Arabidopsis thaliana: one gene and its partners. The protein of the gene in region 1 interacts with the protein of each later gene in a pairwise test. Each region holds a gene or a part of one and is shown on either strand. Other genes may lie near its edges. The genes, in order: AT2G32380, AT2G28990, AT1G61610 and RXW8.

Region 1 (3,430 bases):
GTCGCAAGGTGTTTTATTCTTCTTCCTTTGTTGATCTTCAGGGGAGAATACGGTGAGCACGTTGGGAAGGTTTGTGCTACTCGTATGGTTATTTGTGGTTCTAATCATCAACTCAAGCTACACAGCCAGTCTCACTTCAATCCTCACCGTTCAACAGCTAACATCTCGGATAGAAGGAATGGACACTTTAATAGCAAGCAACGAACCCATTGGAGTCCAAGATGGTACCTTTGCGTGGAAATTTCTGGTCAATGAACTTAACATAGCTCCATCAAGAATCATTCCGCTTAAAGACGAAGAAGAATATCTCTCTGCTCTTCAACGTGGTCCCAGAGGCGGTGGCGTGGCAGCCATTGTCGACGAGCTTCCTTACATTAAAGCTCTCTTGTCAAACAGCAACTGCAAGTTTCGAACAGTTGGACAGGAATTCACTCGGACAGGCTGGGGATTTGTATGTGAAAACCAACTTCAATTTTTTAAGATCAGTCTCTGTTAAAACTTTGCTTAATGGATCTCGATTCTTGCAGGCGTTCCAGAGAGACTCTCCTCTAGCTGTGGACATGTCGACAGCGATCCTGCAACTGGCTGAAGAAGGAAAACTCGAGAAAATCCGCAAGAAATGGCTTACCTACGACCACGAATGTACAATGCAGATTTCAGATACAGAAAACTATCAAATATCGGTACAGAGTTTCTGGGGACTCTTCCTAATATGTGGCGTCGTTTGGTTCATTGCACTCACACTCTTCTGCTGGAAAGTTTTCTGGCAATACCAACGGTTAAGACCAGAAGAGAGTGATGAAGTACAGGCGAGGAGCGAGGAGGCTGGTTCTTCTAGAGGGAAAAGTTTGAGAGCAGTGAGTTTCAAGGATTTGATCAAAGTTGTTGATAAGAGAGAAGCAGAGATTAAGGAGATGCTTAAGGAGAAGAGCAGTAAGAAACTCAAAGATGGCCAAAGTTCAGCTGAGAATTCGCAGTCGAAAGATCACGAAACTCCACAGTGAGATATATAATAACGAGTTACACAATTTGTTTAATGACTGCAGATATAACATTACACTTAGAAAGGTACATAGATTTATTACATAGATAGAGATAAAAATGCAAAACAATTTCCCTACCATCTTGCAAGACGAACAAGTGAACTGAGTCATGGTTTCAATACCAAGTAGTCTCAACATTTTAAAAGATCTAAAACGTAACACTAAGAAATGTACCTTGCTAAAGAATTTGCTTAAGGCAATGCAAGGTTGTAACTTGCAAGTGTGTTTACGAATATGATTCCTCCAAGGCGTGAGAGATAAGGAATTTTGAAATGATCATGTCTTTAGACTCCCTGAAAAATAAAAAATAAAACATCTGCAAATTCAAGAGTCGAAAGTTATTAGAACCGTAGAGTTCACATTTTTCTAGACTATGTAGAGGATGTGAAACTTATTCAAATGTTTAGAACTTAAGATTTTGTAACAGATCATGGGCTCTCTTAATTAGTGTAGTCCTTCGGGTGACTATTTTTTCTGGATACTATATACATCCTCCGAGGAAGATTATGGGCCTAAGGCCCGGTAGTGTTCGAATTTACCACTGAATCAAACCGGAAAAATGGTAGCCGTTTAAACCGGTTCGCTTTAATTTAGATTTGGCCAATTATTAAGTAGCCGGCTCTTCGTTTCCGCGGTCAACGACAGATTAAAGCAGAGAGAAAAACAAAATCCATTGAAGAAGGAGAAGAAGAAAAAAAATGGGAGCATTTTGCAAGTTGATCGATGCGGTTCTCTTCTTATACTTTGCTCTCATGGCGGTAATTGCGCCGCTTATCGACGGTCAAACGAGTCTTCCCGGCGATATCTTCCCGGCGTTTATCGTCGATCTGAATCGCTGGTACATTGATGAATTTGGAGATTATCTAGTCAAAGAGAAGCCGCATTTCCTAGTCGGACTCGTCTGGCATGAGCTTTTGCTTCTTTGGCCGCTCTCAATCGTCAACGTCTACGCAATTCTCGCTGGGAAATCGTGGTTTGGTACCACCTCAATGGTGTACGGAGCTTCCGTCGTGACTTCTATGGTACATTTAGATCTTAATCTCGCTGTTTCTGATCAATTTGGATATAACGTGTTTGATTTAGAGTAAGATTTTGTTGATTTATGGATCTGAAATCTGAGATTAATGAAGATTATAGGAGAAATGATTATTGGTGATCAATGTTAAAGTCTGTGAAACTGGACCATTACAAAGTATGAACTAGGAGCAGACTAGTGAAATTTGTATAATGCTTGATTCAAGATTTCATTTGGTTCCCTAAAATCACAACATTGTATGTTGATGAGGGAGAGAGATTTTGAGTTTCTACTATGTTGAATGACTAGTTTCATGGTTATTAGAATTAGTAACGTTATCGAACTTATACTTATTGTTCTGCAATGTGAATCTTTCCGCATTCATTGCTAATATGCCTTGTGATGAAGAATCTGATATTGAGTATTCATTACTTATTAGGCTGCTATACTGGGAGAGATGATAGGATCAGGGAAGGCATCTGAGAAATTGTTGATGATGTATGTGCCATTCATGGGTGTTGGTATTCTAGCTCTTCTTCGTGGTCTTCTTTCTCAATCCAACAAAAGTGGTGGAGCTGTTGGCAAGAGACCTGCTATTTTGGCCAGGAGAAAGCGTGCTTGAGGTACACTTGATGATCAGCAAGTGTATCTTTTGACTCTGAGAATTTCTGCTATAGGTGGATTTGGCTTTTCAAACAGAAAATTTTGAACCTTTGTGATGTATTCTTCCTGTTTTTTTAGCAATATCATGTCATCTGTGTTCTTGTTTGAAATTAAATGAAGTTAAACTGAAAATATTTTACAGTTCACTTCACCAAAAGGTCTACATTGTTGGGTCTTGACAAATCACACGTTGTGATTCCCATTCCCAAAAGGTCTACATGTTCAGCACAGATTTCTTAGTCTTGTTGGGTTTGGTCAATCTAAAACCATAGGCAACGCGCAACAGCCAAAAACTCTTTAAGCTCTCTTGCAAAACAGAGAGTCTTGGGAAGAAAAGGTGTGAAGTTTTGATAAACCAAACTACAGAAATAGACAACAAAAACAATACAAAAGAAATATCCATACTCTAGAAGAAGATCTAAAGTCAATAGAAAGAAAACAAAAAACAAATTTGAAACTCAAATAGAGAAAAAGAGTACTCAATAACTTCATAAAGGTTTCCAAGTCCAACAATGACAAGGAAACAAACAGACTCAACTGAAACAACGAAAGGTTCCATGTCCAACAATGACAAGGAAACAAACAGACTCAACTGAAATAACAAAAGGTTTCCAAGTCCAACAATGACAAGGAAACCAAAGACTCGAATGAAATAACAAAAGGTTCCAAGTCCAACAATGACAAGGAAACCAAAGACTCAACTGAAATA
Region 2 (7,576 bases), 1.3 Mb from region 1:
GAGTCGTGATGAGAGCGAATATCTTCCCACAAAATACGTCTCTCCTCCACAAAATTTGAAGCATAAATAAAAGAACAAAAGAATTCTTCTTCTTTACCTTCCAACAGAATCGAACATGTTATCATTTGACTACTCTTAAATACCGGAGTTAGTCGAGCATTGTCCCTCCAAACAACCCAAATGCGGCCTAACCGATGTGATTCATAATTAGTTATAGACGACCAACCACTAAAAATAGACGAAAGTAGTTCAGCTGATCTGCCCTCCTTGACTCTCGTCTCCAGAAGACAACCAAATTGCATAGAACTGTGATTCACCCAACTTTTGATAATGGAATGTTTAGAAGATTTATTTAGACCACGGACATTCCAAAAGAAACCCGACATAAAAATTATTTCTTTTTATGAGCCCTATGACCTGAAACACTAGGGTTACCCTTCGTGTTTTGATTCGCAGAGCTTTTGACCACCTTATGCTGAGACTTTGAGATTCGTGGGATGTACGGACGAGTCCCTTGAACACCAACTGAATCTGAATTATCATTTAATTGTTGGGAGAGAACAACAATTTCTCCTTCCTCATGACCGTTTGTGTCAGCCGTGTCCTCCTCCACTGCTAGGACATCAAAACGAGAAGGAGACGCATGATTAACTACTTCTTGAGGTTGAGGACTCCTCTGCCTGCCTACCTTAGCAGGCGATACCGTGTGCCAGGGACCTTCGTCCTTCAAATTTTCCTCGTTTTCCTCTGCAACTTCCTTTCCCTTATTCTGTAAAACAGTCGGATTCTTCATTGGAACTTTCTGAGTGTGAGAATCACCGTTTAGCGTTTTTGTCAAAGTAGCCGAAGGAGATTTCGATAGTATTTCGAGAGGTTTTTCTTTCATGAGAGGAGGCTCTGTTTTATCCTCTGTTTCTATCTCCGTTGGTGTGGATAGCTGATTGGGTGATGGACGCGTTAGACAAACCTCTTGTATATGTCCCCACTTAGAGCATGAAGAGCATCTCGGCGGCAACCAAGGATACTTATATTCGACCATTGCATCAACGCCAGTTTCAGATTTAAAGCGGAATTGTTTTGGCATTTCCTGTGTTAAATCTGCTTCTACAAATACCTTAGCTTCCTCAAAACTGTTGCACAGAACTGTGTCAGGGTGAAGCTTTTTTGGTTCCCCAATAGGACTTGCAAGAAAACTCAGACCCTTCCAAGTAAACATTGAGCGTGGAACATTTTTAATGGTGATCCACATTGGCATTGTTTTAATTTCTGGCTGAGCATCCTCAGCAACCGGGGACCATTTAGAAACGATCATAGGCATGTCAGCTATGTTCCACATTCCTCTGCGAAGAACCCTAGCTCGGACTGAACTCTCTCTGATTCGGAATTTGATTGTTTTAGTGTCTACCACATATGCGTCAATCTTTACCGTCTTGTCTCCAAGTGGCCAGATCTTGTTCACAATAACGTGAACTTTTGCAATATGCGGAGATATTTGTGGAAACCGCCCTATGAGCAAATCATCCCACAATGGTGTTGAATCTTCAAAGATTTCATTTGGGACTTGGACAATCGAATCACCGTTGACCATTGTTACGTTGAATTCATGCTTCGAAAGGGTTGGTCTATTCTGAACAATTGATGAGTATGATGGTTTGGTCGTTTCTGGGGAAGCTTCTGAACTTTTCGATGTGCTCTCCACCACCATCGCCGTCGACATGATGGGGGAAGACGGCGGAAAAGCCGCCAGATCTGCCAGATTGGGACACACGGTAGTGAAACCCTAAATCGCCTTCAAAATCGCCCTGCCACGTCAGCCCTAATTTTTTACCTTTGATTGATTGGTCTATGATTAGTTTGCCGCTGAAAAAATCAACAAAATATAATGTGTCAGTGAATAACATGATTTTTCTTTTTAATCAAAAAACATGATCTTTGTATACTAATTCTGAAACTTAATTATATATATTCGATCCAATCTAGTAAACTAGTTTATAGGACGGGATCCAAACGAAATACTTATCCACGAAAGAAACCTTTATATATCTTTGTGCTCGAAAGTTTTCTCATTCGTTATTTTGGTGGCTGACTACTAAATGAAGATATACCAAATGATTTTTCTTCACTCAAGCAATTTAAGCACATAGACAAAGTAAGATCATCTGGCGATAAACCATACATTCGTGGAGGAAATATTCCTACACATGACGAGTCTCCTGAACATATACAACTATTCAACACCAGATTGATTATTTCCACGATCATTATTTAATTTTCTACCCGGAGTTGACTTTTGTATATTTCATTCCAACTTATACATGAGGTATCTCTCAGTTCCATATCTTTTGCAGTTTTCCCTAAGCAAGTCTTTGTTTTTTCTTGAGTACTAGAGAAACCGGATAGTGATCGAGAGAGAACATGAAGATTCACCTTTTGTTGGCCATGATTGGAACCTTTGTCGTTATAATTGGAGCCCAGGATCAAGAAGGTAATGATATATACCATCTCTTTCTTGTTTATAAATCAATCCTTTGACTTGTGATATGTTATATAAGAATGTATCAATATCACTTTTCCCATTTATTGCTTTTATATTTGAACAGGTTTCATCAGTTTAGATTGTGGATTACCTAGTGACGAATCTCCTTACGATGATTCGTTTAACGGATTAACATTCACATCGGATTCCACTTTCATCCAAACAGGAAAAATTGATAGTGTCGATAAAGATCTTAACATAAACTTATCAAAACAATATTTGACTCTTAGATACTTCCCAGAAGGAAAACGTAATTGTTATAGTCTTGATGTCAAGCGTGGCACAACTTATCTCATCGTGGTTAGCTTTGTATATGGAAATTATGATGGTCTTAACCGTGATCCAAACTTCGATATCCATCTTGGTCCCAATAAGTGGAAAAGAATAGATTTGGATGGAGAGAAAGAAGGTACAAGAGAAGAGATCATACACAAAGCCAGGTCAAACTCTTTGGATATTTGTCTTGTTAAGACAGGAGAAACTTTGCCAATAATTTCAGCCATAGAAATACGGCCACTAAGGAATAATACGTATGTTACACAATCTGGTTCGCTGATGATGTCTTTCCGGGTTTATCTTAGCAATTCAGATGCATCTATAAGGTAAGTCAATCTATTTGAAGCATTCAATGTGACGTTTTTCTTTTGAATAAAATTTAACATTATTCTTTTAAAAAATGTGAGGTTTTTCTCTCTTTTTTTTTCTGGAGAAGATATGAATGAGGGGATATGTTGACTTTACTTGTGTTAAAAACATCATTGTTGAATGATGTGTTCAAAATTTTAAGACTCCAACGTAACTACATTATGCCAAAACTATATGGCAAGTCATTGTAACAATTGAACAAAGAACTAAGAACAACGAACTAGAAATAAAAGATACTAATATGAGCTAAGAAAACAAATTTTTTTTTTCTTTTTTTTGTTCACAATTAAAACTAAATTAATTAATTGAAAGAAAATAAGCAAGAACCAAACAACCAAATCAAACATACAAAAGACTAACATTATTGTAAATCAAACTAAACAAGCAACGATAAATGAAATTGAATGATTGAATTCATTATTAAAAAAACGAGCCAAGGTGATTGACTCGGATAGTTGCCAACTAACTTAGTTTTTGGTATCTTAGTTTCATAGACTAGTATTTGGCTAATACAATTTACTTATTAATTTATGTGGCTAATAAAATTTATTGTAGGTATGCTGATGACGTCCATGATCGTATTTGGTCTCCATTCAACGGATCTTCACATACACATATAACAACTGATCTCAATATAAACAACTCAAATGCATATGAGATTCCAAAAAATATACTCCAAACTGCTGCCATACCAAGAAACGCCAGTGCGCCGCTGATTATTACGTGGGATCCACTACCCATTAATGCGGAGGTATACTTGTACATGCACTTTGCGGAGATTCAAACCCTTGAAGCCAACGAGACGAGGCAGTTTGACGTTATCTTGAGAGGAAACTTTAATCATTCAGGATTTAGTCCAACCAAGTTAAAGGTATTTACATTATACACAGAAGAACCAATGAAATGTGGTTCAGAAGGTTGTTATTTACAGCTAGTAAAAACACCGAACTCAACTCTGCCACCTCTGATCAACGCTATTGAGGCATACAGTGTTATCGAGTTCTCACAATTGGAAACAAGTCTTAGTGATGGTACGTACCTCTCAGCTTTCAATATTACAGGAATGTAACTTATATTATAAAGTATAAGCTATGATATTGATTCTTACATTATATTATAAAGTATGATATTGATTGTTACGTTCTCTTAATAATTGTGTCAGTGGACGCTATCAAGAACATCAAAAATACTTATAAGCTGAATAAAATCACTTGGCAAGGAGATCCATGTCTCCCTCAAGATTTGTCGTGGGAAAGTATTAGATGCACCTACGTAGATGGCTCCACTTCACCAACAATCATTTCCTTGTAATGTCATTCACAAACTTACTCTTTAATTTAAAATTTAAATATCTAAATATTTTGTATGTGTTTTTGTATTATTAGAGATTTGTCGAAAAGTGGATTAAATGGGAGTATACCCCAAATTTTACAAAATTTCACGCAATTACAAGAACTGTAAGTATCTCTACTGTTGATCACCTGAACCAATAATGATTTATTTGGACAGAATATGTAAGACAATTTCTTTTGTTTGTGCATATAACCACAGGGACTTATCAAATAATAGCTTGACTGGACCGGTGCCTATCTTCCTTGCCAACATGAAAACGTTATCTTTAATGTAAGCTATCTAAAAAGCATAAATGAACATTTTGACCTGCGTATGTATGTATATATAATGGTTATCTTTGTCTCAACAGAAACTTAAGTGGGAACAATCTCAGTGGTTCAGTTCCTCAAGCTCTTCTTGACAAAGAAAAAGAAGGACTTGTGTTAAAGTAAGATTTCCTTTTCCATAGAGGGAATGCATTTACTAATCATATAGTAACAAAGTAGAGGAACTTCATTTTTGGAGACTATTTAACTGCTAGATCTTTCTTAATTAAGAGAGTTCATGTCGATTAAATTATCGCAAAATATGGTACCTGACAGTTCGATTATTGCCTTTCCTATGCAAGCTATTTACAATTTCAAAATATGTCATATTCATTGTAGACTTGAAGGAAATCCAGATTTGTGCAAATCCAGTTTTTGCAATACCGAAAAGAAAAATAAATTCTTGCTCCCGGTTATTGCATCAGCTGCCTCTTTGGTTATTGTAGTTGTGGTTGTGGCTCTTTTTTTTGTCTTCCGAAAGAAGAAGGCCAGCCCTTCAAGTAAGTTATGAGCCATTAATAATTTGTTTACCTGCTATAAAGCAATGCATATAGTTAGCATATAACCAAATATACTATCATATGTAGATCTACATGCTCCACCAAGTATGCCTGTATCGAATCCCGGGCACAATAGTCAATCAGAATCATCATTCACATCGAAAAAAATTAGGTTTACTTACTCTGAGGTTCAAGAAATGACAAATAACTTCGATAAAGCTCTCGGTGAAGGAGGATTTGGAGTCGTGTATCATGGTTTTGTTAATGTTATTGAACAAGTAGCAGTTAAATTGCTATCACAATCATCTTCTCAAGGCTATAAGCATTTCAAGGCAGAGGTACCCTTTTTCTAGTAATTCTCAATAGATATCCAATTGATTTGTATATCTCTAAGAGTGTTGGATGATGGATGATTGGTTAGGTGGAACTCCTTATGAGAGTTCACCATATAAATTTGGTGAGTCTTGTTGGGTATTGTGATGAAGGAGAACACTTGGCTCTTATTTATGAATACATGCCAAATGGAGACTTAAAGCAACATTTGTCAGGTAATATCACATATATAATTGTTTTCTTAATAAAACCTAACCATGATATAATTTTTTTTTCTGAATAATTAAAGATCATAACTAAATTGATATGAAGTGTGTTTAATTGATACAGGAAAGCATGGCGGATTCGTCCTGAGCTGGGAAAGTAGACTAAAAATAGTTTTGGATGCAGCACTAGGTATTCATTAAACTTTAAGACAAATGTTTAGTTAATAATTACAGCTTTTATGGGTATTAGTATGGCCTCGACCGGATCAGAAAGGAACCATATGATGATATCGAAATTAATCTCCATTTTCCAATAAACGATGGTATTAAATTTAATATGTAGGATTGGAGTATTTACATACTGGATGTGTACCACCAATGGTTCACAGAGATATCAAAACTACGAATATACTTCTAGATCAACATCTCCAAGCTAAATTAGCTGATTTTGGGCTTTCAAGATCTTTTCCCATCGGAAATGAGAAAAATGTGTCAACTGTTGTTGCTGGTACTCCTGGATATCTTGATCCTGAGTGAGTATAACTTCATATGTTAGTTCCAAAATCACCATTCCTTTTTTTTACTTTACAATCACAACAATTTCTTGTTTTGCAGGTATTATCAAACAAATTGGTTGACAGAAAAGAGTGATATATACAGTTTCGGAATTGTACTGTTAGAGATAATTTCAAACCGTCCTATAATCCAGCAATCCCGTGAAAAGCCTCACATAGTGGAATGGGTCAGTTTTATGATAACAAAAGGAGATCTTAGAAGTATTATGGATCCAAACCTCCACCAAGATTATGATATTGGTTCTGTCTGGAAGGCCATTGAATTAGCAATGTCATGTGTGAGTCTTTCTTCTGCAAGACGACCAAACATGTCTCGAGTTGTGAATGAATTAAAAGAATGTCTTATATCCGAAACCTCTAGGATAGGTGAGGGACGAGACATGGAATCAAAAGGTTCAATGGAATTCAGCAGAGACATTTATAATGAGGTAATACCTCAAGCTCGCTAGCTCGTCAAAATTTATTCTTGCTGGTTTTTCTTCTCATGAATATTCAAATTTGTGTGTTTCAAGAGTGTCTTTCGCCAATAATAACTAAGGCTTTCACTAATAACATGTAATACTGATGTTGAATTGTCGTAGTGTGATATATATTTTGTGAAATACATATGGTGAAATTTATTGAAATTATTTCATGAATTTGTAACCCACAACTAATTCTCGTCTTTGTTTCTATCTCAAGAAATGCATTAGGTTGTTCCCACTTTCGGTATTTTGAAAACCAAAGGAAGAGTTGAATATACCAAAACTTATGTATTTCCTTCAAAACTTAAGAGCTGTTTATATTTCCTTCAAAAGAAGATAAATAAAGAAGATATAAATGGTCTAATAAACCAAAAGTTGGTCAAAATTTAGTCTAAATATAAAACATGAACGTAATAGAACTTGTTTACAAGCGTATATCTCGTTGATCCTGAGTTTAATAAGATGTATAATAGTAAATGTTACGAAGAACTCCAATAATGAAATATCACAAGACAGATTTATCTTGTGGAGAGGGTTCATCATGTAAATGTTTTTTTTTTTTTCACCATGTAAAGTTGGTAATTCTTGTTGTATATTGTTTTAACGAAGACACACTTCGACCTAGTCTAGTACACAACCAGTGGAGATTTAAAACAACA
Region 3 (5,611 bases), on another chromosome or scaffold:
GACTGAAGAATCCACAAACCATTAGAAAGAATTGTGTTCATTTGAAGCATTTGACAATCTTGATTTCTTTGTTTTTCTTTCGTTGAGAATTATTGATTCAAAAATGAAAAGCATGACAATGTACAAAGGTTTATAGCGTTATCTATGTATTTCACCCTTTGGTTTTTGGGTAGAGCGTATTTCAAACCTGCAGGACTAGTGTTTAAAGTTTTGGTTATAAATGTGTAAAATTTACAAGGGCTTTGAATGTTTCGTAGATTTTGTAAGAGTTTTTGGATTTTGTTTTTCAAAAACTTATTTTCATACCAATCAAGATTTTAAAATTTTGGTTTCCCTACAATTTAGAAAAACTATTTTGTTGTAATTTTCCATTTATGATTTTAGTTTTTTAGTTTTCCTAAAATTTAGGAAATTTAGTTTTTACTTCATCAACGTTATTTATCTCAAAAACTAAAAACCAATTTTTGGGATTTTTAAAACAAATATATAATAACAAAAATCTAAAACTAAAATCTAAAATCTAGAAACTAAAATCTAAATCCAAAAACTGAATCGAAAATCAGCATCCATTCAGGGCCAAGATCTCCAAATTTTACCAGTTGCAAAAATGATGGATGAGAAATATTGTAAAAGTTGATTCATTTTTACATACTTTTTTTATTTATCAATAACGTGAAATTTATTAGTGTTTTTTAAATAACAACTGTCATGTTATTTTAACCGATATCACACTGTTTGATATGAAATCACATTATTTCTTCAAATCAAATGCAAAACACACACACACACCATTTATTTAAGGTTTTGCTATATATATATATATATATTTTTTTTTTTAATAACAAATTTGCTGAAAATTTCTTATCTATAAACCAAAATAAAAATAAAAATAAAAATCTAAGCATATGATAAAGCCATGTTTAAAATGGGTTTGTACCAAACTAGGCTATAAGACGAGGACTTACACGAGTAATAAGTGGTGGGGCAATATAATTCTCCAAAAGTCATGCCTTCGCCAGTATCATGTCACTCACTGTCGGAAAATGTAGTTTATTTGCTTCCTCACACGCATGTCAATGAGTGAATCTGCGCAAGAGGAACTTGTGCTTCGTAATGCAGCTAGATTATATTCATCACAAAATTTGAATTATGCATATTTCCATAATTGCGTTTTGTAAGGTGAAAACGCCACTCAACAATAGAATTTACAGTTTTTCTTCACCAATAAATTTTTGAACTCATAAAAATAAAATTGTACTGTTGTGCCCCAATCTATATTGATTACCATTCTACATTAGTATTTTTATGTATTTAGAATATTTATTTATTTTGGATGTTTTCAACCACCCAAATGAAGAAGGTCGTATTCTCAATAAGAGATAAAAATCAATTGATATATCCTTTTCTTGCCTTAAAAGTCACAATTTTGCACTATAAAATCAAAAGTCTTAAATAAAACGTGAAAGTTCATATTCTTGTCAACACGAATTCGTCGGTTGTCCTTTTCATTCGTTGGTATTTGTTTTTGGAGATGATTTCCACTATTTTCCTCAATTTTAAAGACGACTTTTCTCGTTAAATTGAGAAAGACCAAACTAGTCTACATGAAACTTCGATAGCCACTATTTTTGTTCTTTTCTTTCTTTTCCTTCTTGTTATATACAGATCTCTGAAGCTCAAATCATCTCAAATATGGCAGGATTTAACAGAAACCTTACTTTGGTGACGACTCTTTTGATATTCCATCAACTATGTAGCAACGTATCTTGCTCCACAAGCAACTCATTCACTAGAAACCACACAATACGAGAGGGAGACTCACTGATCAGCGAGGATGAAAGCTTCGAGCTTGGATTCTTCACCCCCAAAAATTCGACGTTAAGGTATGTTGGAATATGGTACAAGAACATAGAACCTCAAACAGTTGTTTGGGTTGCGAATAGAGAGAAGCCGTTGTTGGATCACAAGGGAGCTCTAAAGATTGCAGATGACGGAAATTTGGTGATCGTGAACGGTCAAAACGAAACCATTTGGTCCACAAATGTCGAGCCCGAGTCAAACAACACGGTTGCTGTTCTGTTCAAAACAGGGGATTTGGTTCTGTGTTCAGACTCAGACAGAAGAAAATGGTATTGGGAGAGTTTTAACAATCCAACCGACACTTTCTTGCCCGGTATGAGGGTTCGGGTGAATCCTTCGCTTGGAGAAAATCGCGCATTTATCCCGTGGAAATCCGAGAGTGATCCTTCACCAGGAAAGTATTCAATGGGGATTGATCCTGTGGGAGCACTAGAGATTGTGATTTGGGAAGGGGAAAAGAGAAAATGGCGTAGCGGACCGTGGAATTCGGCTATCTTTACCGGTATACCTGATATGCTCCGTTTCACAAATTATATTTACGGGTTTAAGCTCTCTTCTCCTCCTGATAGAGATGGTAGCGTGTACTTCACGTATGTTGCCTCAGATAGTTCCGATTTCTTGAGGTTTTGGATTAGGCCTGATGGCGTAGAAGAGCAGTTCAGATGGAATAAGGATATCAGGAACTGGAATTTGCTTCAATGGAAACCAAGCACGGAATGTGAGAAGTATAACCGTTGTGGTAATTACAGTGTATGTGATGATAGTAAGGAGTTTGATTCCGGTAAATGCAGTTGCATTGATGGATTTGAGCCGGTTCATCAGGATCAATGGAACAACAGGGACTTCTCAGGTGGCTGCCAAAGAAGAGTTCCTTTGAACTGTAATCAGAGTCTGGTTGCAGGTCAAGAGGATGGGTTTACGGTACTTAAGGGAATAAAGGTGCCTGATTTTGGATCAGTTGTTTTACATAACAACTCAGAGACCTGTAAAGATGTATGCGCAAGGGACTGTTCTTGTAAGGCTTATGCGTTAGTAGTAGGGATCGGATGCATGATTTGGACCCGTGATTTGATCGATATGGAACATTTTGAACGCGGTGGAAACTCTATCAACATCCGGCTAGCGGGTTCTAAACTAGGTTTGGAAAAATGTTTAAGCTATCATATAACATTGTGAAAGATTTAAACATGACTAATCTGTTTCTTTTGTTGTGTATACAGGTGGTGGGAAGGAAAATTCAACACTTTGGATAATTGTTTTCAGTGTTATAGGAGCATTCTTACTAGGATTATGCATTTGGATCTTATGGAAGTTTAAGAAAAGCCTTAAAGGTAAAGTCTCTATTCGTACATAGTCTTGTTTCACAAGAATTAAACTACTGAGACTGTCAATTACTCCATGATCTGCAGCTTTCTTGTGGAAGAAGAAAGATATCACAGTTTCTGATATCATAGAGAACAGAGATTACTCAAGCTCGCCGATCAAAGTTCTAGTAGGGGATCAAGTTGACACACCCGATTTACCAATATTCAGTTTTGACAGCGTAGCCTCAGCTACTGGAGATTTCGCTGAAGAGAACAAGCTTGGACAGGGCGGATTCGGTACTGTATATAAGGTAGAAAATGATTTTTTTTTTCTGACAATAATACTGGATAATAAAACTTTGCTTTGTATGCAAAAACTTATGTGTTATGTTTGGACAGGGAAACTTTTCAGAAGGAAGAGAGATTGCAGTGAAGAGACTATCAGGGAAATCTAAACAAGGACTAGAGGAGTTCAAGAACGAGATCTTACTAATCGCGAAACTCCAGCATCGGAATCTTGTTAGATTACTAGGATGTTGCATTGAAGACAATGAGAAGATGCTTCTCTATGAATATATGCCAAACAAGAGTTTGGACCGCTTTCTTTTTGGTATGTTTTTTTCTAAACAATTTCAATTAAAATGTTTTGAAAATGTTCGGATTGAGTATATAATGACTCTGCGCAGATGAGAGTAAACAAGGAAGTTTGGACTGGAGAAAACGATGGGAGGTCATTGGAGGAATCGCGAGGGGATTACTTTACTTACATAGAGACTCAAGACTAAAGATCATTCACCGTGACCTAAAAGCTAGCAATATCTTGCTAGACACGGAAATGAATCCAAAGATCTCGGATTTCGGTATGGCTAGGATATTCAACTACCGACAAGACCATGCCAACACAATCCGAGTCGTCGGCACATAGTAACTTAACAAACCTCTTTATCTCCTCTAAATTAAACAATATCGAACTCTATCAATTTTTAATGATTTTGATGTTCAACAAGTGTAGTGGTTATATGGCTCCGGAGTATGCAATGGAAGGGATATTCTCAGAGAAATCAGATGTGTATAGCTTTGGAGTGTTGATATTGGAGATTGTGAGTGGAAGAAAAAACGTTAGCTTTCGAGGGACTGATCATGGAAGTCTCATTGGTTATGTACGTCTCTTTTCTTTAACCATAAATTTTCAGGTCTAACTAAAATATTCGAATATTTGTTACTAATGAATGTTCTAAACGGAAAAAAAAAAATAAGGCGTGGCATTTATGGAGCCAAGGAAAGACAAAAGAGATGATAGATCCAATTGTGAAGGACACTAGAGACGTGACGGAAGCGATGAGATGCATCCACGTGGGTATGTTGTGTACACAAGACTCGGTCATTCACAGACCAAACATGGGTTCGGTTTTGTTGATGTTGGAGAGTCAAACCAGTCAACTTCCACCCCCGAGACAGCCGACCTTCCACTCGTTCTTGAACTCTGGTGACATTGAACTCAACTTTGACGGTCACGATGTTGCCTCCGTTAACGATGTTACTTTCACAACAATTGTTGGTAGATGACTCACTGACCAGAAGTTATTTTTCCCCAAAACGCTCTTTGACTATCCATTTGGTCTCGAACTCTTTTCTCCATAGTTTTCAACTTTTTATACATAATTAAATTCTTCGTTGAAAATATTATAATACATGTACATTGACGATGAAAAACTAATCGGATTTGTACACAACATACTTTTAGCAACAAAAGAGAAGAAGCTCAACAACATACTTAATTGTGAAGAAAAAAGCGTTGTTGTTCGAACATGAATTGGAGAAGTTGGAATATGGACAAAGGTAGTGGCATCGAAGGAGGAATTTCCAGTGATTTGAGATTTAATGAGTTTTAAGATGATTTTGTTGAATTTTAGGGAATTAGAAAATTTGTTATTAAATTTATAAAAATCTTCCCTTAAATCATATGATTTGGACATTTGTATTCTTAATTTTTTTTTTTTTGACATCTCACATATTTCTTTTTTAAAAAACTGTAAAACCATAAAAAAAAAAAAATTATTTACGGTTTCTATATGATTATAGCTTTTATAAAACTAAAAACCGTAAAACCAAAAAACCGAAGTGAAACCAAACCGAAAAACGGTATGCCCATCCCTAGGGCTAGTAATGAAATCAACACTCTTGAAGTGGAGTTATCTACATTTTTATGTTTGATTATAAATTATATTTTTCCACCCATTTGTAAAAATCCTATTTAAAAGAGAAAATTTTCATTTATAACTAAGTTCTCATTTGTGAACAATGTTGGTTGATTTGATTCTACATTTTAAAATTAATAATCCAATAACACTTGAGTTTTACAAACTTTTTAAATTCATGTTTGAATAACACAAGATTTTAATACAAATCACACCAAAACCTTTATTCAAGATTTTATTTTACCTATC
Region 4 (7,959 bases), on another chromosome or scaffold:
TTATTTAGCTCAAGCTCATAGATATGACCGTACCTCTTATGCCAATTTCTTGGCTGACTCTGCTGTCCATTTCGTGAGAGTAAGTATTTTATTCGTAGTTATATATAATAATACATAAACTAATCAATAATATATTGTTATATCCACTAACTATTTTATCTTATCTATAACTGATAATTAGGAATTACATAAGCTTGGAGCTCGAAAAATTGGAGTGTTTAGTGCAGTCCCCGTTGGTTGTGTTCCATTACAAAGAACAGTTTTTGGAGGTTTTTTTACAAGAGGATGTAATGAACCTCTAAACAACATGGCAAAACAATTCAACGCAAGACTTTCTCCAGCATTAGATTCTTTAGATAAAGAGTTGGATGGTGTTATCCTTTACATTAATGTTTATGATACTCTTTTTGACATGATCCAACACCCTAAAAAATACGGTAAGTTCATCTAACAGATTTATCTATATAGAAACTATATATTATAATTCATTTTTATTGTCGAACTAAATTTTATTCCAATTATCTCATTTCTTTTAGGTTTTGACGTAGCCGATAAAGGATGTTGCGGTAAAGGACTGCTCACAATATCCTATTTATGTAACTCATTGAACCCATTTACGTGTTCTAATTCTTCATCATACATATTTTGGGATAGCTATCATCCATCTGAAAGAGCTTATCAAGTTATCGTCGACAATTTACTCGATAAATATTTGAGCAAAGTCTATTGATGTTGAGGAATCAAAGAAAATTGTATCTTTTTGTTTCAAATTTTTTTTCATCTTAATTCATGTCTCACTATGTATTCATATCTTAAATTTTAAATATTCATTCTTTTTCTATAATAATATTTGGTGGGATAAAGATAAATATTTTCAACGGAAAAATATACAATCAAATAGTGGAATTTTATACGTTTTAGACTATTTTATTCCTTTTGTAACATACTAGTATAATAATACCCAAAATAGTATACATATGTTACTTTCATAAGAAAAAAAAAAAAAAACTATTCTACAGTACTTAGGCCTGGGCAAAAGAACCGCTAACCGATTAACCGAACCGAGCCGAACCGAAAAACATGGTTCGGTTCGGGTTTGGATAGCTTAAAATAACCGGCTGGATATTATATGTTTTAGATTTCGGTTTCGGTTTTGGTTAGGTTAGTAACCGATAACCAAAGGATAACCAAAGCATATATGTATGATAGATAATATATCACATATATTGTATGTATTGACACTTAACTATGTTCTTCTCTTTATTAGTTTGCAAGTTGAATTTTGTGAGTTGTGAATCAGGTATTTTAATATTATGGAGAGTATGGACCATATTTGCATCTTTGTGAGTTGTGAATATATCTTTTTTTACGTACGTTCTATATCGGTTATTGGTCAATTTTTTTTTTTTGTTTCGGTTTTTAGTCGGTTATTTCGGTTTTGGTTTATTTATGGTTACCAAGTTTAATATCCGAACCGAACCGAACCGAAAGATATCCGAATCGAACCGAACCAAAATTCCTCAAATATCCAAAATGGTTCTTATATTACTATAACCGAAATAACCGAAACCATGCGCAACCGAACCGAAACCGAATGGTTAACCGAATGTCCAGGCCTAGTAGTACTATATTGAATAAAACTTTTATGTCATACTCATGCATATCTCACTTGCAACAAGAAACACATGAATCCAAAATCCATGATTCCTTCTTCACCTTTCCTTTAATTTTTCAATAGTCATAACAGTTTTAACTAACACTTGAGCGAACGTTGTGAAAAAAAACGCACCCACACGTGTCGCTATCTTACCCATTCTATCACAAAACCAACGGTCATAATAAATTCGACCACAGAGTAGTCGCTCTCACATAGTATCAAATCTTGGAGCATCAACCATTTTATAACCGACACGTGGCCTAATCGTCGCTCCCTTCTTCACCGGCCACACAACGTGGCCTAATCATTTGTATTTAATTTTAATTATTTGCATGTTTTCATTTTAAGTTATGATTTGAATGAACTGGAAATGCGAACTCTTCGCGGAATTGGAATTTTAAAAGCAATTCGGTGTTTCATTTTTTTTTTTTTCTCTTCTCTTCTCTGCGAATTCTTAGGGTTTCTGAATCTTCTGGTTCTCTTCGCAATCGAATTCTCTGAAGTCAAACCAAAGTTTTTGGTATTTCTCTCTGTAAGTCATGTTTTTTTTTTTTTTTCTGAAATCTCTTCGATTTGGTTTATTCTGTTATACAACTTCGTGTTGTATCTGTAATTTTTCTGACGAATTGGATTTGATGATTTTGCTTCGATTGATTTCCCTGGGAATCGAAATTGTGTTTGTTTCACTGGATTTAGTGGAATGCGATTCTCTGATTCATTGTTTGTTCTACGTTTCCGCGTTTTCATCTATCGTAGTTCTACTTTATTGTTTAGGCACCATTGAAATTGCGAATCGTAATTTTGATTAACGGAAAACAGAAATTGATAACTTGAAATTGAATCTCAGTGCATTATGTTGTTTGTTATCTTTGGGTCGTATGTAACCAACTTATCTTCCTCTGCAAGTTTAGGTACTGATTATGATTTGATTCATGTTTCCAATTTTTCGTATCTGCAATGCAAATGCAGAAAGTTTTGGTTAGTGTTAAGATAGTTTGGATTCAACTTACACGTTTGATCGACGATTGTTTATCAGTCTCTTTCGCGGTGTTTCGTTAGCCTATCTGTTTTTTTAAGCATTGGATTTCAGGACTTTTGTTATTTCGATGTTCTTATCTTTTTTCTTTTTGTGATGTTTTCTTACAGTTTCTCCTGCCAATCTAAGAACCTCCTGTATTGCTAGGTTGGCCATCTTGTGACGAGACGACGTACTTATGAAGTTCTTCTCTTCCTGCGATTTTTAGTCAGGAAGGAGTTGAACTAAGATTAAGATGGAGATATCAGCTCTTCTTACATCTGCTGGAATTAATATTTCGATATGCATAGTTCTTTTATCACTTTACTCCATACTTAGGAAACAGCCAGCCAATTACTGTGTATATTTTGGCCGAAGGCTTGTTTGTGGTGGTGCTAGACGTTATGATCCTTTTTGGTATGAGAGGTTTGTGCCGTCTCCAAGTTGGCTTGTGAAAGCATGGGAGACTAGTGAAGACGAGTTATTAGCTGCTGCTGGTCTTGATGCTGTCGTCTTCCTTAGGATGGTCATTTTCAGGTTACTGAAAATAAACTCTCCCAGATGCTTTTTCTTTGTTCTGCTTCTTGGTTTTGTTCTGTAGTGTTTGTTTTACTTTGTGTTTTTTGTTCTGCAGCATTCGTATTTTCTTTATAGTTGCTGTTATTTGCATTGCCTTTGTGCTGCCTGTTAATTATTATGGGCAACCGATGGTGCATAAGGAAATCCATTTGGAGTCATCCGAAGTGTTTACAATTGAAAATCTTAAAGAAGGCTCAAAATGGTAAATGTTTTTTTTTATCTCTACCTATGTCTCTTTGAAAGATGTTACTCTATGCAGAGTGTGTAAAGTGCTGATTTTTTCTCATTACATTTATTGCTCTCAGGCTGTGGGTTCATTGTCTTGCACTGTACATTATAACCTCAGCGGCATGTCTTCTGCTCTACTTTGTGAGGACCTCGTACCTTAGTTTATCTCATGCATACAGCATACTTGAATACTTACTCTTGGTTCCTCCATGTATCTTCTTATTAGTTTATTTCCCAACCTTTTGACATTTTTTTTATACTGTAGGAGTATAGCACCATAGCTAAAATGAGGCTTGGGCATATTACTGGATGTGCCTCAAAGCCAAGTCAATTTACCGTTCTTATCCGTGCTATTCCATGGTCTCCTGAGCAATCTTACAGCGACACGCTGAGCAAATTCTTCACAAACTACTACTCGTCCAGCTACGTGTCCCACCAAATGGTCTACCATAATGGCATCATTCAGAGACTGCTGGTACGTATATTTCTTGGAACAGTCATTTTTAACTAAACTATTACGCAGGCCACCTTCCTCTTGCTTTACTTGTCAGATTAAAACCGTCACCTAGATTTATTTTAAAAAACTGTTATTGCTCTTTGTGAAAATGATTTGAAGTTTTGAACATTTTGCCAGCTTTAAGTGTTACTTCTTATTGCAGTATTCATTTTGGTTGATAGCTTTCGTAGTTGGTGTAAATTTCATGGTTCTGAATTGTTATGTGCTGCTTGGATGTTATAAAGGGTTATTTGATGACTAGATGCAGAGATTGATGATATTACATAGCACAGTAGATATAATAATGAAATTTAGTTCGTGTATCAGCTAAAAGGGGTACAGTTTAGATGCATATTCTGGGAATATGAAAGGACCTTCTAGAGCAACTCTGTCTGTATCCTACTGCTGGGCTTTCATTCTACTGCTTTCTGATACTGTGGTTATTTCAGTATCACTACATCAGTTTCTCATTTATTACCTGTCAGCATGTTGTAGAAATTGGGTAAATGATATGTGGATGGTTTGTGCTTGTGATAAAGTATTTGAAATTTAATGTTCTATGTCAGATAAAAAGTGTGACGTTTAGATTATTCCAATTTCTGTCTCAGCGTGATGCGGAGAGGATGTGCCAGACTCTAAAACACGTTTCTCCTGAAATCAATTGTAAACCGAGTTTAAGGCCATGCACCTTTTGTGGAGGACCTACAGCCACAAGTTCTTTTCATATCCTATCGAATGAGGCAGACAGTGTGAAAGGAATGGAGCTTGGTGAGTTGACTATGACTACGACTACGACAGAGCAAGTAAGGAATTCTTCTGTCTTTCCCTGATCTAGGCATAGGATGTGGATATCTGTTATTTCTTCTGTCCAGTGGAGAGGATCGTTTCAACTAACATTACAAACTGATTTAGAAGTTTCCACTGCATTTCTTCTCAGTTTTTCACCTGGTCCTGACAGATAAAGACTTCTTTTACTTTAATGGGATACAAATTGAACTTTGGAAGTGGCAGTCTGATTGTCTGATACTGCATAGACTTGTATAGTTTTGTTTACTCGGTACAGTTTTAAACCATCATTAATGATTTGTAGCACCATATTCGACAATTCAGTATAGTTAACTAAGATTTTTCACTTTTGTGGTAGCGATTAGAAGTAGCAATGCTTGATTTTAATTAGTCACAATATAGAATAGCTTACTAAAGCCACAAAATTTTCTGCGTTTTGCAGGAACGTTCAGCTGCTTTTGTGTTTTTTAAGACTCGCTATGATGCTCTTGTTGTTTCGGAGGTTCTACAATCATCAAATCCTATGTTATGGGTGACAGACTTAGCCCCAGAACCTCATGATGTGTACTGGAAGAATCTCAACATTCCTTATCGACAACTTTGGATACGGAAAATAGCAACCCTTGTTGGTGCAGTTGCTTTCATGTTTGTGTTTCTTATTCCCGTTACCTTCATTCAAGGGCTGACTCAACTAGTGCAGCTGTCTCACGCATTTCCTTTTCTAAGAGGCATCTTGAGCAAGTGAGTGCCCTGCTGGTTCCTTACGCATGTATATATATATGGTTTTGTTTCTTCTGGACATGATATTAGAATTGGCGTTAAAAAGTAGGCGGAACTCCGGTGCAGTATAGAACACACGAGCCTTCTCTATAGCTTTCAAACCATTGGAGAAATCAAAATTTATGTTCTTGATTTGTTTTATCATCTTTCAAGTTAATCGGGCCACCAAAACCATTTTGCAGGAACTTTATAAACCAGGTCATCACAGGGTACTTACCCAGTGTGATCTTGATTCTATTTTTCTATGCCGTTCCACCATTGATGATGTATTTTTCGGCCTTGGAGGGATGTATTTCACGGAGTATAAGGAAGAAGAGTGCTTGCATCAAAGTCTTATATTTTACCATTTGGAATGTGTTCTTCGTGAATATATTATCAGGGTCTGTTATCAGGCAACTGAATGTCTTTTCTAGTGTCAGAGACATACCTGCACAACTTGCTAGAGCAGTGCCAACACAGGTAATTTACCCATAGTCCTTTTACATTTCAGAGCAAAAGTTTGAATTTTGCTAATGTTCAGGTTTCTACAGTCTCTGAACATTAGCTAGGTTACATTTTGCCAAGATCTTGCAGCTTTCGGATTGGATATAGTGTTTTCTTGCGCTGGAACTTTAATAGTTTGTTCTTTTTCCTCGTTCCATGATAAAATTATATATCAGAGATATTAAAGCCCATTGGAGGAATTATTTGGGATTGAGCTTTTCTGGTTGCTTGTGTTTCATATTTATTAGGAAAAATGAAAATTGTATCATTGATTTTGAATATGGCTTTAACCATGTATGCAGGCTGGCTTCTTCATGACCTATTGTTTCACATCTGGTTGGGCCAGTTTGGCTTGTGAAATAATGCAGCCTATGGCTCTTATCTGGAATCTGGTAGCAAAAGTTGTTACCAAGAACGAGGATGAGTCATATGAAACACTTAGGTTCCCATACCACACCGAAATTCCTCGGCTGCTTTTGTTTGGGCTCCTGGGTTTCACCAATTCAGTCATAGCACCACTGATACTGCCGTTTTTGCTGATATACTTTTTCCTTGCATATCTCATATACAAAAATCAAGTAAGTGTGTTCTCTGATCTCTTGTACATAATATCACAGTTAATCTCTCCAAAAGCATCATAATGGACTTGTACCTAATTTGTGAAAGCTTAGTTACTTTGTGACCTGCATGTTTTAGATGGAAATTGGATTTGTGCTTTTCGGAATTTTGCTTCTGCAATGTTTATAGTCATGTACAATGTGATAAGAGCCATTAGTAGTGCCAAGCTCATGCATTGAGTAAAAAGAACTCTTGATATATATTTTTAAAGACAACCCTTTGTAGATGCTCAACAGAATTGTTTCTATTTGCAGATACTCAACGTGTATATTACGAAGTACGAAAGCGGTGGACAATACTGGCCTATTTTCCACAACACAACAATCTTTTCACTGATCTTGACACAGATTATAGCTTTGGGGTTTTTCGGATTAAAGCTATCAACAGTTGCTTCGGGTTTCACCATACCGTTAATTCTTCTCACGTTACTTTTTAGTGAGTATTGTCGGCAGAGGTTTGCGCCCATTTTCAACAAAAATCCTGCCCAGGTATATTAAATGTAACCAAAACCTTTGATGTTCCTACTGCAGTTTATGCGTCTTCTCGGTGCTTGATTGATGTGTTTCTTTTCAGGTTCTCATAGATATGGACAGAGCTGATGAAATATCAGGAAAGATGGAAGAGTTACATAAAAAATTGCATAATGTATACTCGCAGATACCATTACACTCTCAGAAATCATCGAGTAAAGCTGAATGTAGTAATCCTTTCAAAAAGCAGGAGTTACCAGATCCTGAAAAATTGAAGCCAGGTTTCGAGTTTATATCACTGTTTGTGTATGATTATAGATATCACTTGATTAGAGACTAATGAGATTTATATTTTTCAGAGGAGGGGGATGCGATAGCTAAAGAGTTATGGGGATTCCAAGGCAATGAATCTGGTCAAGAACATGACACTAAGTCCTGAGCATCTTTCTCCAAAGAAGATCGAACTTCACAAACGGAACTAGACAGATGTTTTTACTAGTGAAGTGCCTATGTGTTGGTTCAATCACAAAGTCTCCAACAAATCAGTGCATTAAGCACAAGAGTTCTCTCGTAGGCATGCTCAGCTGCAAAACCAATGTTACTGGGAATACTTTCACTCACTTGAAGAAAAGTAGATGTAAGTTTTTCTGGGATATTTGATAATTTCTTCAATGAAAATTCCTATACAAATTATATGGGGGAAACATGTACAGTCTTGTTGCCAAGATAAAAATGTACATCTTATAGTTACTGCAAGAAGAAATGGAACTTCTTTATAGAGCTCAGAGTATGAGAAACTAAAACTATCAATCTCTTTGATGAGATGGCCATTTTTCAGTTGTTCATC

Evidence for each region.
Region 2: the proteins of AT2G32380 (region 1) and AT2G28990 interact in a protein complementation assay, tested with the Arabidopsis thaliana proteins (one large-scale study listed by BioGRID).
Region 3: the proteins of AT2G32380 (region 1) and AT1G61610 interact in a protein complementation assay, tested with the Arabidopsis thaliana proteins (one large-scale study listed by BioGRID).
Region 4: the proteins of AT2G32380 (region 1) and RXW8 interact in a protein complementation assay, tested with the Arabidopsis thaliana proteins (one large-scale study listed by BioGRID).

The regions. Positions count from the first base shown.
Region 1 is NC_003071.7:13,746,042-13,749,471, reverse strand, and holds AT2G32380 (Transmembrane protein 97, Putative), read left to right. Parts: upstream 1-1,661; 5' UTR 1,662-1,741; coding exon 1,742-2,065; intron 2,066-2,497; coding exon 2,498-2,680; 3' UTR 2,681-2,906; downstream 2,907-3,430. Other genes in the region: GLR3.5 (glutamate receptor 3.5), read left to right, coding at 42-451, 528-1,004.
Region 2 is NC_003071.7:12,452,640-12,460,215, forward strand, and holds AT2G28990 (Leucine-rich repeat protein kinase family protein), read left to right. Parts: upstream 1-1,997; 5' UTR 1,998-2,415; coding exon 2,416-2,485; intron 2,486-2,600; coding exon 2,601-3,138; intron 3,139-3,736; coding exon 3,737-4,212; intron 4,213-4,343; coding exon 4,344-4,488; intron 4,489-4,566; coding exon 4,567-4,638; intron 4,639-4,732; coding exon 4,733-4,804; intron 4,805-4,883; coding exon 4,884-4,961; intron 4,962-5,178; coding exon 5,179-5,339; intron 5,340-5,426; coding exon 5,427-5,677; intron 5,678-5,760; coding exon 5,761-5,887; intron 5,888-6,002; coding exon 6,003-6,068; intron 6,069-6,221; coding exon 6,222-6,411; intron 6,412-6,493; coding exon 6,494-6,902; 3' UTR 6,903-7,066; downstream 7,067-7,576.
Region 3 is NC_003070.9:22,731,780-22,737,390, forward strand, and holds AT1G61610 (S-locus lectin protein kinase family protein), read left to right. Parts: upstream 1-1,579; 5' UTR 1,580-1,692; coding exon 1,693-2,998; intron 2,999-3,080; coding exon 3,081-3,191; intron 3,192-3,269; coding exon 3,270-3,475; intron 3,476-3,563; coding exon 3,564-3,774; intron 3,775-3,850; coding exon 3,851-4,088; intron 4,089-4,176; coding exon 4,177-4,324; coding exon of another isoform or gene 4,325-4,363; exon of another isoform or gene 4,364-4,421; coding exon 4,422-4,730; 3' UTR 4,731-5,079; downstream 5,080-5,611.
Region 4 is NC_003070.9:21,730,615-21,738,573, forward strand, and holds the start of RXW8 (GDSL-like lipase/acylhydrolase superfamily protein), read left to right. Parts: upstream 1-1,951; 5' UTR 1,952-2,189; intron 2,190-2,803; exon of another isoform or gene 2,804-2,840; 5' UTR 2,841-2,928; coding exon 2,929-3,209; exon of another isoform or gene 3,210-3,306; coding exon 3,307-3,453; intron 3,454-3,556; coding exon 3,557-3,620; intron 3,621-3,744; coding exon 3,745-3,954; intron 3,955-4,583; coding exon 4,584-4,778; intron 4,779-5,203; coding exon 5,204-5,502; intron 5,503-5,723; coding exon 5,724-6,000; intron 6,001-6,326; coding exon 6,327-6,602; intron 6,603-6,896; coding exon 6,897-7,130; intron 7,131-7,215; coding exon 7,216-7,393; intron 7,394-7,471; coding exon 7,472-7,551; 3' UTR 7,552-7,959. Other genes in the region: AT1G58525 (GDSL-like lipase/acylhydrolase superfamily protein), read left to right, coding at 1-79, 182-437, 558-730. UniProt on the Arabidopsis thaliana protein: Acts as an osmosensitive calcium-permeable cation channel.